2 linked regions of the Diceros bicornis minor genome follow. The protein of the gene in region 2 purifies or fractionates together with the protein of the main gene of each other region. This does not show direct contact. Links are inferred from orthologs where the notes say so. Each region holds a gene or a part of one and is shown on either strand. Other genes may lie near its edges.

Region 1 (7,169 bases), on a different chromosome or scaffold from region 2:
CAAATTATTGCGTTTTTCTTAGGGGAAGTGAGTTATTGAGATTTGAAAAGGTAGCATTTAAATTGTGGAATCAAAATATTGTAAACCCTCTCTTTGAGAAGGAAAAATTTCAAATCAGAAATACAAACTTCCCCTTTAAGATGGGACAAGCTTTGATTAAATGAATAGAACCCCTAATTTTCCAGATTTTTAGACTTCCTGTTTGTTCAGCGCAATGCTACAAATTGCCCCTGGTCTCAAAACTATTTTTACAAACACCTTGTGAGATATAAAGTTGGGCCAGCCAGGCTAGCCAGAAGTTTGAAATGGAGAAGATGTGTTTTATATGCTGTGGCGTTCATTTCTCTTAAATATCCCAATACCCAAGGTCCCAGAAGTAAGAGTTTGCTCAGATGTGTATAAGACTACCTTTTATCATTTCAAATTAGGGTGACTAGTAGTCTCTGTTTGTCTAGGATGTCTGGTTTTAAAACTGAAAGTCCCATGTCCTGGGAACCCTCGATCCTGGGAAAACTGGGATGGTTGGTCACCCTACTTCAAGTATAAATCCTAACCCCATGCCTGAATTGACTTCAAGTTTGTGAACCAGGTATTGGAAGTTGAATAAATTCAGAAAACATGGTTATGTGACAGTTCATTAATTGTACCTGTTGTTCACCACTTACCATGTAAATGAACTGGTAATGAACCTCATTTTTTTTTTTTCCTTTGTCCTTTTTTTCCTTTGTCCCCTGACTTTTGGGTGCTGTTTTTCCAACCCTATAAAAATCAAGTGTGGTTTCAGGGGTTTGCGAAGCAGCTTGTCTTCCCTGTCTCTCCTCTGCAGTAGTAGTTAAAAAACACCAAACTTTGCTTTAACAAAAATCTGTTGGGTAGTTTCTGAGACTATGAGATTGTTGAGAACTGGAGGGTGAGATGGGGTCAGCCGCCGGGTCCTTTGCAGGCCTGGTGGAGAGGCAGCTGTAGGGCCCTCTGCAGACCCAGAGGGGAAGGGCTGAGGGCAGGCAGCTGCGAGGGCTCAGAGGAGAGGAGTCTGGCAGCCATTTCACCCTCCTGGCTAAAATGGGTAGTTTAGGGCCTTATATACTATCAGACAGATATTGGAGACCGTAGTGGGCTGCTTCTGAGATGGCCCCCAGTGATCCCTGCGTCTTTGTGTAATCCCCTCCCTGAGCGTGACTTGCTCCTGACCCTCAAAGGTGATCGGCTGTTACTCTTGTGATCAGATTGTCTACGATCGCGACTGACTTCTTGCTGGCAGACTCTATTGCCCTCTTGGCTTGCATACTTTGATGATGTTGGGGAACCCTGTGCGGCAAGGAACTGTGGGTGGCCTCTGGTTGCTGAGGGCAGCCTCTGGCTGACAGCCAGCAACATACCAAAGCCCTTAGTCCTTTAACCACAAGAAACTGAATTCCAAGCGAGCCTGGAAGCAGAATTTTCTCTGGTAAGCCTTGGATGAAACCACAGTCCCAGGCAACACCTTGACTGCAGCCTTGTGAGACTCTTAAGCACAAGACCTATCTGGGCCTGGACTCCTGACCCACAGAAATTGTGACAATAATAAATAGGTTATTTTAAATCACCAAGTTTGTGGTAATATTATTATGCAGCGATAGCTACTAATGCAGAGACGTATATTTTATTACAGATTAAAAGTGAGAAATAGGGATTGTATTCAATTTTTTTTTCTTTCATGAGGAAGATCCTCCCTGAGCTAACATCTGCCAACCCTCCTCTTTTTTTTGCTGAGGAAGACTGGCCCTGGGCTAACATCCGTGCCCATCTTCCTCCCCTTTACATGGGACGCGGCCACAGCATGGCTTAACAAGCGGTGCGTCGGTGCACGCCCGGGATCCGAACCAGTGAACCCTGGGCCGCTGCAGCGCAGCGCGCGCACTTAACCGCCTGCACCACTGGGCCTGCCCCTGTATTCAATTTTTTGCATACCAATCATATAGAGAGAATTTTGCTAACTACTGGGGTGAGTACATCAGCAAAAGAGGTCTAGTGTATAATATTGGATATATGTGTATCTGTATCCAAGATGCAATCTCAGGCGCCCACAAGGGAATTCACGCTTGCTTGGAGGGCAGCGGAAATGCAATGAGTTGGCAGCCTGCAGGAGTCTATACCAGGGCTTACGTGTTCTGAGCCAAGTGGATGCCTCAAATGCCAACAGAAGAGAATGGGAGGACGATAGAGACAACGGGAAATAACTCTTCTCTGAAACTCCTGGATTTGTGGTTTGGACCCCATGAGCAGAGAGGTCAGTGGCAGAAGCAGGATTTGCTTTCTTAAGAGACTGTCAAAGCATGAGTCCAAGTGTCGTTAATGACACTGGAGTGCTGCAGGGAACACAGCACTGCTCTGGCACCTGAGGGCCCAAGGTCTTCGGGAGTAGGAGGGGAACTATCAGGACGGACCTTGCTGTCCTCACAGAGGATATCAAGGCTGAGGCCACAGAAAGGCATCTTGAGAGAATTTAGGGAAAGTAAGGGAACAGGCAGGAGGAAGAGCTGGGTGACCCTTTCAGTGATTCTGCTTCACGGATTGCACAGTTGACGGCGTAAGACATGCTTTGTGGATTGCGTTGTCCTAGAAAACAGAGCCCGAGGGAAGTTTGATGAGCGCTGATGCTTTAGCCCAAGATAGAGAGAATGAAGGAAAGGGGAAATGAAGCATGGAAGGATGAGAAGTGCCACACTGGCGCTGCTTCACAACAGGCTGCCAACAATGCAGCAGTCCGCTTGGCAGGTGTGTCCACTCAGCCATACAGGACGTCTCCTGACAGGCTGTGCGGAGAAACTTTGCCTTAGAATAGTCCACCAGAGAGAGAAGAAAAGGGAATTTACTTGTCTGGTTCCTTCCTGCCTTGTTCTTATTGATCAGTTTGCCTTCATTAAAATTTGCTCCTTGTATCCTCAGGCCAGGGAAGTCTGGGGATATTTTGGTTTCAGGTAAATGACTACAGTGAACAGGTCTTCTCAGAGTTCTAAGAGAGGCTCTGTCTTAGTTCTCTTGGGCTTCTATAACAAAAATACCATCAACTGTGTGGCTTATAAACAAGAAATATTTATTTCTCATAGTTCTGGAGGCTGGGAAGTCCAAGATTATGGTGCTGGCAGATTCGGTGTCTGGTGAGAGCCCACTTTCTAATTCACGGACAGCTGTCTTTTTGCTGTGTCCTCACTTGGTAGAAGGGGCCAGGGAGCTCTGTAGGTCTCCTTATAAGGGCACTAATCCCATTCATGAGGGCTCCACCCTCATGATCTAAGCACCTTCTGAAGGTCCCACCTCCTAACACCATCACATAGGGCATAGTTTCAACTATGAATTTTTGGGGGGACACACACATTCAATCCTCAGTAGGCTCCTGTTGGAGTGAAGCCTTCTAAGGAGGTATCTGAGCTAAACCCTGAACGTGGACATTCCAAATCAAGGGATGAGAATGAACTGAGATACCAAGGCCACACACTGCAAGGTGTTTTCGGGAAGCCCAGTGGACAATTTTAGTGCCGACATACGGTTTCTGCCAACTTTACATTTCTGGATAAAGAATTTGAACTTTTCTTAGGCAACAGGGCGCCTGTCAATAATTTCAACCTAGAGACACCACGCAATGGGAGATTAGAGCTCAAGAGAGTTTGCTCCTTTCCCAAGTGCGCTAATTGTACAGCTGACTCCACAGACGCGGAAGGAAGGATAAAGCTGGGATTCTTAACCTGGGTCTGCGACGCTCAGAAATTGCACACAACGTGTTCGCGAGGCCTCCATACGCTTCATCAACTTTTCAAGGGGCCTGGACCCCAAAGGGTTAAAATGCACTGGCATAAAGAGATAATCAGCAGTCCCCTCGTCGGGTCGGGAGACAGGAGCGAAAACAGCCAGGATATCCCCTAATTCAGAGTTGGGAAGCAGTTCGAGCTCGTAGCGACATGACCTGGAGCCACTCTGCTACGGGGGTCCAATCACAGGACAGACTGGAACAGAGACTTCCCCGCTTCGGGGCTCGGCGCCACGCTAACAAAGATGGAAGTACCCAGCAACTTCCGCTCCGCGCATTCTTCCCGCAACTGCGCAGGCGTCAGGACCGCGGGACTGGCGCGAGCCTCCCGCGATGTCCCGCCCCGCCCCGGCGCGAGGCAGGACGGGAAAGCCAAGATGGACGCGTCCATTTGAACGTCTCGCCTGAGTGGGTCGCCTGCACGCTTGCCTCTCGTCAGCAGTCGCGCCCGCAGCCGCTGCCCCTTCTTCCTCCGGAATAGGGGAGGAGGAGGGGATGAGAAGCTGCGGCGGCCGAGGAGTCACCGTGAGCGACCCTGCCGCTGCCCTCGGGCCCCCTTGGCCCTCGCGCCTCCGGGGAGCAGCCGGGGCTCGCCGCGCCTGACGCGTCCCGAGTGACACAGGTGCGGGCCCGGGCCCGCAGCGCCCGGTGGTTCCTCGCGCGTCCCCTGACCCTCGGGCCCGCTGACCCGGAGCCGAGGGGGCCCGGGCCTGCGGGCTGGGCTTTCGGGGGTGCCCCTCTCCGCTGCACGCCTCGCCGACTTCCTTCCTGAGCTAAGCGCGGAGTCCCACGTGGGCCCGAGCTCCTGCATCGGCCCCTTGTCCTTCTGACAGGATTTTCTGAAACCCAGGCCCTTAGCCTGTTGGTTTCGCTTAACCCTAGGAGGCCGACGAAGCTCTGCCTTTTTGCGAAGACTCAACTCAAGGTGCCTTTTGTGTGCATTTGGGTCTCCTCTTGAAGTAGCTTTGCGGTTACCTTTGGCAGGGTTGTTTTTGTTCCTAGTAAGCCGTGCTGGTATCTCGACTTACAGCGTGTCACCTTAAGATAGTACTTTCGTATGTACCTGTGTATGTTGCCCTAGTAAGTAAAAGCATAAAAGTTTGGGATACTGTAAAATTTTTTAATGTTAACCTTTATCAGGGCAAAGAGAAACTGTACTGTGAAAATAATTGTATGATTAACAATTTTGTAATTTTCTCTCAAAGTTTTAATGGAATAACATTTCAAAATTACACAACTGAAGTTGGATAAAGTGGCAAGTTCTTAAGTGTTGGTTAACCTGTTGACTAGAATATAGGAAGACGAGCTGAATTTTGCTGTTTTCTTGTAAGTTTTATAAGGCACTATTTTAGTTATGTCCCAAGTTCAAGTGTTCTCAGTTCTGAGCTTTAGCAGGAGGAAAATAAAAGTCATGATTGTGACATACAGTCATGTCAGGAATAACATTTAATTCATAGCAGAATAACTTTGTGACTCTAGAGGAGCTGTGTAGAAACTACAGAGGCTTTGAGATGTTGCAGCAAAGAAAACTGATGCCAGAAAGAGCTCAGATGAGATATCTAAATCAAACTTAATTAAACTCTAATTGTGAGCCCTGTTTCAGATGCTTTCTAAAGGTTGTCTATAGTGCTGACATCACGTTTGTTTTGATTTCTGTGTCTGAGGATTGCAGTTTAAATGTGATCACGCAAAACCCATTTTTAATGTAGGTGTTGTGTTGGAGACAGGACTGGCATCCACCTTACAAACAAGATTATACAGTGTCAGAATTTTAGTTCTAGCTGTTAGTTACTATATGTAGAAATGTATTGGAGGTAAAGGGACTTGTTTCCACTCACAGCCCATCCACATCTTTGTATAATGAACTGTACTGTAATAGATTATGTTAATTAAAAACTAGGACGCTTAAATTTGCTACAAGCATGACTGTTCCATGGCCAGAGTTATTCATGCCTTGGTTCCCTGGGTTTGGACAAAGAATTCGAATTGATTGTAGTCATGTATTTAGGTGAATGGGGGTGTGAAAACTACTGATGACATTTGATAGTTTATTACCTGTTTTGTGGATTGGTCAACTGAAAGCAATAGTTCAACTTGTGAGGAATTAGAAATAATATGTGGGTTTTTTTTTTTATTTGTTTCATTCCAATATACCAGTGATCCTCTAGGTGTGCTTTTCAAATGAGGTTCCAGCATCTGTATAGAAATGACCTTAAATGTTGAGAAGCACGGCAGTCATGGGACTATAAAGTACAACTATAAAAAAGTACAACTATATAAAGGACAGCTTGTCTAAATACTTTCTGTGTGAAGTGTGGAAAAATTAGCGTATAGTGGTAGGAAACATAGGATAGGTGTTGTGGGGCATAAGTGCTTGTCTCAGCCCAGTGGTTTCTGACAGCGGTAACTGTCTGTTGGTCAGTCTGCAACTACAGTGTGGTGATAACTGTAATTACCTGAAAGAGTCAGATCTGGAATGCCCTTTGATGTTGATTACTTATACACCTGCAATATAATAGGATTATTTGACACTCAGCTAAGAATTAATGACTCTTCGTAAACTTTTGTGATATTTTTATCCTGGTTTTGACTCTAGAAGCTGACCAGAATGTGTTTGAATTCATACAGAAATAATGTTGATATTTGGAACCCATGTCGAACTTCTATGAAGAAAGGGCAACAATGATTGCAGCCGGGGATTTGCAGGAATTTGTTCCTTTCGGTCGAGACCACTGCAAGCACCACCCTAATGCTTTGAACCTTCAGCTTCGCCAGCTGCAGCCAGCCTCTGAGTTGTGGTCTTCTGATGGTGCTGCTGGTTTGGTGGGATCCCTTCAGGAGGTTACAATCCACGAGAAACAGAAGGTTTCATTCAGTTTCCCATTATATTTTGAAATGTAGAGTGGTGTAATCTGCTTGTAATTTAAGGCTACCCAGATGCAACTGAGAAATGAGTGTGATGCTGTTTCTAGGGTAGAGGTTCAGATTTGGTCATTTTAAACAAGGCTAAAATAATGACTTGATTGTATTATAGTGTCATAGCTGTTTATTTAGACATATAACTCATGGTTTTACAATGAGAGTCAAGTTCAGTACTGTGATTATGGTCCATTTTAAGCCTCTTTCTCTTCTCTTGGTACGTGGGGACCAGATTTCATGTTACTTGATGATTAGATGTTAGAGTTAGAAAGGGTCCCTGCTACAGAAAACTTAGTTTGTAGAGGAGAAAAAAATGCTACATAAGTAGAGTAGTAGTTCTTAAATAAGGGGATGAGATGTAAGTTTGTGTCAGAAAATCAATCTTTCCTGTCTTATTCCGTTTTCATATCCCTTTGGGATACCAAATTCTCAGGGGGGAAAGTTTATGTAGTTAGAAATGTCA
Region 2 (7,261 bases):
ACAGCAACCAGACGGCTGTGCAACTATGACATACAACTATCTACTGGTGCTTTGGGGGAAAAAAATAAATAAATAAGTAAATAAAAATTTATAATAAAAATAAAAATAAAGTACAACAGGTGAGTCCGAGACCACTTCCTGACAATCAATGCCTTAGGGAAGGCTGAACTGATCTAATTACAAGGGCAGGAGGGAAAAGGAACAAAAGAATTGCACAGGTTTCAAATTTTCCAAGAACTACTTCTGGATAATTTTCCTTTATGTTAAAGGCTTTCTATTTGCAACTTGATCTGGCAAGAAAATGACACTCTTCTGGCCATGTCTAATCTTAGTCAAAAACAAAATCATTAATTTACAAAGCTTTATACTATAGTCAGATCAGTTAATATAACCAAAAAAGATTTAGAATATCCTAGAAATGTTTGTGAACTCTTAAAAAAATTAATAAATATCTCTCCATCTTTATCTGCTCAGATTTCATCTACAGCACACTGGTGCTATCACTTATTGATTCAAGCTTTTTAAAAGCCATCAAGCGATATCTAGAGAGTCATAAACAGTTCATACCCTTTGACCCAGCAATTTCATTTTGAGACCTATACCCCAAGGAAATAACCAAAAAGGAAGAAAGGATAATTTATACAAAGATATGCATAGCAGTGCTCCTTAGAATGGTGAGAAATTTTGGAAACAAAATATCTAGCAATAGAGGAAACAAATAAGTAAAGTGGGTGGTCTCTGCACCTCCACTGTAGGAAAAGTCAAGAAAAAAAGAACAAGTACAGAAAGTTAACACCGTAAAAACATGTTATCTGAAGTGAGTGAGCCTCTTGAGCCCTGAATCTCCATGCACAAGAATCATCTACAGTCTGTTAAAATATGGAGTCCAAAATAAAAGGGGGGGAGGGCAGAATGCAAGGACCTGTCCAGAGACCCAAATTCACTGGATTTGGGGCCCAGGACTCTGCATTTTAAACAAATATTCCAAACAAGTAAAAGCTGGTGTCCAGGACTTATGGCACTTTGAGAAACACTGCTGTTGAGAGCAAAGACAAAACCTAGGTCATCATTGTAACCCCAGAGGTGAGCACCTGGTAGTCACTCAATAAAAGCTTACCTGAATTGCTGATACAGAGGAGTTTAATGGTCTGGTGGTCCATTTGGAAAATACAAATTTAAAAGGAAATAGTATTATTAATTCTTGGCTATTGGATATTACTAAACAAACACAAAGCTCAATTTCTCTGCATTTGAATGCTTGCATGAAGATGTTAAAAAAGTATCTAAATTCTGAGATACTTACAGGAGACATGTAATAAGGTGTGCCAACAAATGTTTTTGCAAAACTCGTATCATGGTTTAATATTCTAGCTAGCCCAAAGTCTCCAAGCTTAACGTTTTGCTTGCCATCCAGGAAAACATTGGCTGGTTTCAGGTCCCGATGCAGCACAGTATGACCACCATCGCTTCGTCTGTGACATTCTTTTAGGGCCAGAGTCAGCTGAGTCATCACTCGAAGAACAAACTCTTCATCTAAGTATTGTCTGAAATCAAAGCAGTTATATAGCATATAACTTCTGAATAAAACCATTACAAAGATGGGATGATATGAATTATCTAGTTTTCAAAGTGTAGAAGTAGGGAAATAAATTATTTTGATATGAAATATGGGTGTTGATTCACCAAGGATTTTCTAAAGTACTGTGGACTCATCAAACAAATACAAGCACACTCTTCCACATTACTAAGTACTTCATTCCTGACCCTAAAACAGGATGCTTAAAGAAATGAAACTAGGCCCATTTTCAGGTTATATTTAAAAGATTAATTTACCTTTCCTTGGTTCCCTTCATAATTACACTAGCCAGGTCTCCTCCTTCGCAATATTCCATTACAATGTACAGTGTTGTGTTGGTTCGGTCAATAATTCGATCGTAGTAACGGACAATGTTTGGATGTTTCAGTTCACGAAGCAAATTCACTTCAGAAACAAGCATTTGTTTCTCAGCTTCTGTCATAGAGCCATAGTCAAGTTCTTTCCAAACTAATATCTGAAATAAGAATTTCCAAGGTATAAATGAACGTTCCAAAATTTAAAATTTTTAAAAATTACTTGCCTATTAAATAGATCATACAGTCATTATCATCTAATTTCATTCAATGAACTTAAGGACCCCTGAGTTTATTTTCATAATCTTCCTCTAATTTTTAAGCAGTAAATGGTGCAATAGGAGAGAGAGGGATGAGAGACATTAGGCCTCCCTCAACCCCCTACCCTCACTTGTTTTGTGGGAGGTTGGCAAAAAGTACTTTGGTCAAGGCTGGAGCGGAGGTAGTCCAAGTTCCTGATCATCCCAACCAGTCAAGTTTTTCCAGGGTGAGAGACCTTACTAAAGATCCCTCCAGCAGCAGCTAGGCAGTTTCCTCTCATCGTTTCTTGTATTGTTTCTCATTGTATAAGGTCTACCTACACACACTGGGAAATATGAATCAATAACCAGAATAATGGGTATTTTAAATGAGTCTGACTGCAAGACATAAAGCTCCAGGTTCTGGGGGCCCCGCCCCTTTCTCTCGTCTGAGAGGGCTACTCTTCTCTAAAAATAGCTCAGAAGTCAGCTACCTGTCACCAATGGAAGGCCCTCAGCAGGTCAAAGCAGGAAAAAGGAAGGAAATGGAAGAGAAAGGAAAAAAGACGGTAAAAATATGCTATATCAAAAAATACAGTCTCCCGTTCCTTGAGCGACCCAGGACAGACGCAGGCCTGGGGAAGATGGCTGACTCTTGCAGGCACCCTGCTTTCGAGATCCACAAGCCCAGGCCTCTCGCTTCCCTTCGGCGGCGGCGGGCGCAGCAGGGGCGGAGACAGGGCAGGGGCCCGCGCTCACCTTGCCGTCGCTCTTCCTCCGGATCTTCTGGCAGCGGCCGTAGGACCCCGTGCCGATGGTGTACAGCACCTCATAGTCCTCCGCCCGAGTCGGCATGGCCGGGCCGGCCGCACGACTCCTGCAGGTCGCGATGCAGGCACCTAGCTGCAGCCACCGACTCCGGGACCCCTCCGAACCCCACTGCCCCGCAGCTCCAGTGTCCACCCCCGTTTAACCGTCGCGGGCCCTGGACTCGCAGTCTATTGGCCCGCGGTCAGGTCGCTTCTCCTCTCTGATTGGCTAAGGAGAACACAACACCATGGGCATCTTGGGAAAAGCCTATCGCTAGGCAACCGCGTCGGTGTCGGCGTCTGCTTTCAACCTCTAGGGAGAAAGGGGCGGAGCCAAATCAAAGGCAGGGAGGGAGGTAGAAAGCGGCAGCAGGTGGGTGCCCGCGGCTCTATTCCTCTGGCTGAGGTGTAACCAAAGTCCAGAGATCTTTCCTCAGACTTCTTTGCACACTGCCTCAACCAACTACCTTCTGACCGTTGCACTCTGACCCCTCACACTACCCACTGTTCTCTCGCAGCTTCCTGTACCCTGAGCCTGGGCGGGGTCACGCGGAAGACTTGGTGAGAGTGAAGTACAGAGATCAAAAGTGCAGTCCCTCTCTAAAGGATGCGCGGATGAGTGCTGGCTCTGGTGCGGGGGTGTGCCAAGCACTTTGCGTGTCTTGTCTCGTTTATTTCTCAACACAAACCTATAACGGAGGAAGTAGTGTTATCATTTCCCATGAGGAAATGGAAGCACAGAAAGGTTAAATTATTTGCTTTAGGTCCAACGTCCGGGAAGAGAAGAATCAATGTGAAAACAGTGGTTACTCATGGTAATGATTTAAAGTTCACACACGACGTCAGAGTGCAGTCACCATAGACTATTTTTTTACTGAGATATAATCGACATACAATCTTATATTAGTTTCAAGTGTACAACGTAGTGATTTGACATTTTCACATAGGGACTATATTTTTGAACACCAAATTTAGAGGCCTGTTCAAATGCAGAGGATGTGTACAAAACCTCAGGGTAGAATATGGAAGTCCCTGATGTTTTGGAATACCCAGAGAATATGATGGCTCTAAGGCAGAGACAGTCAGGGACCTTTAAGACTCCTACAAAAAAAAATTTTATTAGAAAAGACTACCAAATAGGGTAGTTGGGATGCTGGATGCTGGACACATATTTAACTGACAATACTTCATTGAACGCAGCCTCTTCTGGGCACCCACAGAAACCAACATTTTCAGCTCACCCAGCCAAATGGAACATTCTCATTTTTAGCTGGGAGAGGGGACCTGGAGGCCCCTGGGTGGGGCTGGATGGTGGAATATGTGTATTACCTGAAGGCTAATAACTTGGCAATGCATAAGTAGGTCAATTTTCTTTAAATATCTGTTCAGCATGGGACTGAAAGGAACTTGATTTTCTATTAATAAGAATTACAGTGGCCGGCCCTGCGGCTTATGGGTTGAGTGCGTGCGCTCCGCTACTGGCGGCCCGGGGTTCGCATCCTGGGCGCGCACCAATGCACCGCTTCTCTGGCCATGCTGAGGCCGCATCCCACATTCAGCAACTAGAAGGATGTGCAGCTATGACATACAACTATCTAACTGGGGCTTTGGGGAAAGAAAAAAAGGAGGAGGATTGGCAATAGATGTTAGCTCAGAGCTGGTCTTCCTCAGCAAAAAGAGGAGGATTAGCATGGATGTTAGCTCAGGGCTGATCTTCCTCACAAAAAAAAAAAAAAAAGAATTACAAACCTCTTTATGTTAAAAATAAGGAATTTATTACATGCACTGAATATAACAATTGAAATCGCCAGCCAGGAGAATTTTTAAAGGAACATTCAAGGGCACTGTCTTACCTCAAGGGAATGTGACCAATTTAGGTTTCAAAAGCTATGTAAGGAGCTACAAGTGGCTGAGTTAATTGGCATTATATTTTTTATTTTAATACATTTTAAAGATGGACATCCGTGGAGCTCTTTGGCTGGCCAGCCCCAAATCCAGTCCCGCATCTTCTCTCGGGCCATTCTTCTGCTCTTTGCCCCAGTTCCCTGAATTCAGCACACTTTCTCAGATGCCCCCTACCACCACTACCACTACCTCCTTTGCACCTGTTATTCCATTGGCTGCAATGCTGTCTGCCTTACTCCCTCATCCACTCCCCCACCCCGATCACATCTGTCTCGAGGACACAAATTGTCTTTCAAGATTCAATGCCAACTTTCTCTCCTGCACTCTAGGAAGCCTTTCCTAGCACACCAGAACAAGCAATTCCTCCATCTACAGTGTTCACAGACCCCTTCATGCATAAATCAACCTTTAACTTGTTATTTGTTTGATGATTTATTTACGTGGGTCTCATAGGAGCTCAGCTCCAAGCTCCTTGTAGCCAGCATAAGTCCTGTAATAAAGGAGACATGCAGTAAATCTTCGTTACATGAAAATATGAGAAAGAAGCTCATTAATAATCATGCGAGGATTTGGAGTGAGCCCTCTGGTACTCATGTTTCAAATGCCCCCAGCCCCATGGCAGAGACTAAATATTGGGGAAAGGGCCACCCCAGGAGTATGGAGAGCAGCTCCTAGGCACATATATTCATTCAACATATATTTATTGAGCATTTACTATGTAGCAGGTATAATGATAGGCATTGGTATGCTGGGTGTTCATTAAAAAAGAGACAGTGGGGCCATGATGACAATGATAAAGAAAAGAGTGACATAGACATGGCGTGACAAACCCTAATGACTTGCAGAGTTAGTCCATATCATTGGGTAGGAGTGAGGGGCGAGACAGCCCAGCAGAGACCACTAGACACCAGAGTATAAAGAGACATTGGTGGCTGAGGAGCATGTGGAAATCAATCAGGAACACTTTACAGAAAACAACCCTTCCGCTGTCACTTCCTCCCTCCTTCCTTCATAGTCTGCCTGTTCGTTAAGACTCAGCTCATGCCCAGTTTCTTCCCTGAAATTTTGCCTGACTGCCTTCAACCCACTGTGATCGCCTAAAAGAACAATTAACTGTGTTCTTTACTCATTTAGAATGTGCCATATACTAGTCTATATTACTAGCTTCTCATGTATATCTACCTTATCTGACATATTAAATCAAAAATTCATCCTTCAATAAATATAAATTGAGGCTCTGCCTGGTGCTGAAGATACCCCAGTGAGCAGGACTGACGCGCAGTCCTGGAGGTGGAGGAGGTAGATGGACACAAGCACGCAGAGAAATTCAGCCGTTACAAATTGCGGTGAGAATTCAGAAAACAAACAAAGAACTGAGACAGAAACTGAAGATTACATTTAAACAGAGAAGTAAGAGATGAGCAGTTCCATGAGGGTGGGGCCAAGGCTTGAGCATCTCTGTAACCACTCTCCCGCGCCCAGGGTCTAATTCACTGTCTGCACAATTTTCTTGTTAAATGTGCTCATGTTGTCAGTTTTCGTTTAAATTTGGTGAAATCCCAAATGAAGAGATTATTGACACTCTGTCTGTGTTTTCTGCTCACAAGTGCTCTACAGATGTTCCCAGACACCAACTAATTTTTAAAAGAAGAAACTTGGAAGACTAATGGGCATCTCCAACTTACCCTGTCCAAAATCAAGCTCCTGATTTTTGCCCCAGACTTATTCTACTGGCTGTCTTCTTCATCTTAAGTGACGAATGCATATGCTTTTGTTTACTGCAGTATGTCCAGCACCTAAAACCTGCCTGGAACATGGTAGGCACTCAATTAACATTTGTACATTGAATGAACGAATGGAGGAAGCCATACCTCATTGCCCTCAGCTTCCTTTTTATGTTACATTAATGACCCACTAGGGGGTTGTACATCACTGCATAACAAACAAGGAGACAGTACATCCACCCGTCCACCCTCAGAGGCCTGTCCTTACAGGAAACTCCGAGATTTGCATATTGAGCATTTCAAATTTCAGACAAGATATTCTGTGTGTCTTATCTCCACAATTACTTGGAGCAATTTGAAGTCAGGGATTATGGAAATTTTTTAAAGTAATCAATAAGGATTTCTAGAAAGAAAAAAAAGGAGACATTCTTTGTTCATAATAATCAGAAGCTAAAACATGTTAAAGAAAGGTGCATGACATAGTATGTCAATAAATAAGCATGTTCTAGAAGAAAGAATGAGGTTTTATGGAGCCTGGCCCTAATAGCGACACACCACTTGATATAAACAGAAGGACAAGATGCAAACAAAGAGACAGCTTTGGATTTAATGGCAGGCAGCTGATGGAAGAATATGATGAGAAGAAATTTATCTTTGAAACAGAATAGTGTTTAGTTCTGAACTTCACCACATT

What was found.
Region 1: the proteins of NEK2 (region 2) and ANAPC1 purify together in Homo sapiens (affinity purification with mass spectrometry; 3 studies listed by BioGRID and IntAct, with this or other methods). This does not show direct contact. The link is inferred for Diceros bicornis minor from reciprocal best matches to the Homo sapiens genes NEK2 and ANAPC1.

What each region holds. Positions count from the first base shown.
Region 1 is NC_080779.1:18,750,172-18,757,340, reverse strand, and holds the start of ANAPC1 (anaphase-promoting complex subunit 1), read left to right. Parts: upstream 1-4,162; 5' UTR 4,163-4,409; intron 4,410-4,435; exon of another isoform or gene 4,436-4,712; intron 4,713-4,992; exon of another isoform or gene 4,993-5,113; intron 5,114-6,415; 5' UTR 6,416-6,439; coding exon 6,440-6,652; intron 6,653-7,169. UniProt on the Homo sapiens protein: Component of the anaphase promoting complex/cyclosome (APC/C), a cell cycle-regulated E3 ubiquitin ligase that controls progression through mitosis and the G1 phase of the cell cycle.
Region 2 is NC_080743.1:77,451,037-77,458,297, forward strand, and holds the start of NEK2 (serine/threonine-protein kinase Nek2), read right to left. Parts: upstream 3,060-7,261; 5' UTR 2,985-3,059; coding exon 2,889-2,984; intron 2,052-2,888; coding exon 1,834-2,051; intron 1,545-1,833; coding exon 1,304-1,544; intron 1-1,303. UniProt on the Homo sapiens protein: Protein kinase which is involved in the control of centrosome separation and bipolar spindle formation in mitotic cells and chromatin condensation in meiotic cells.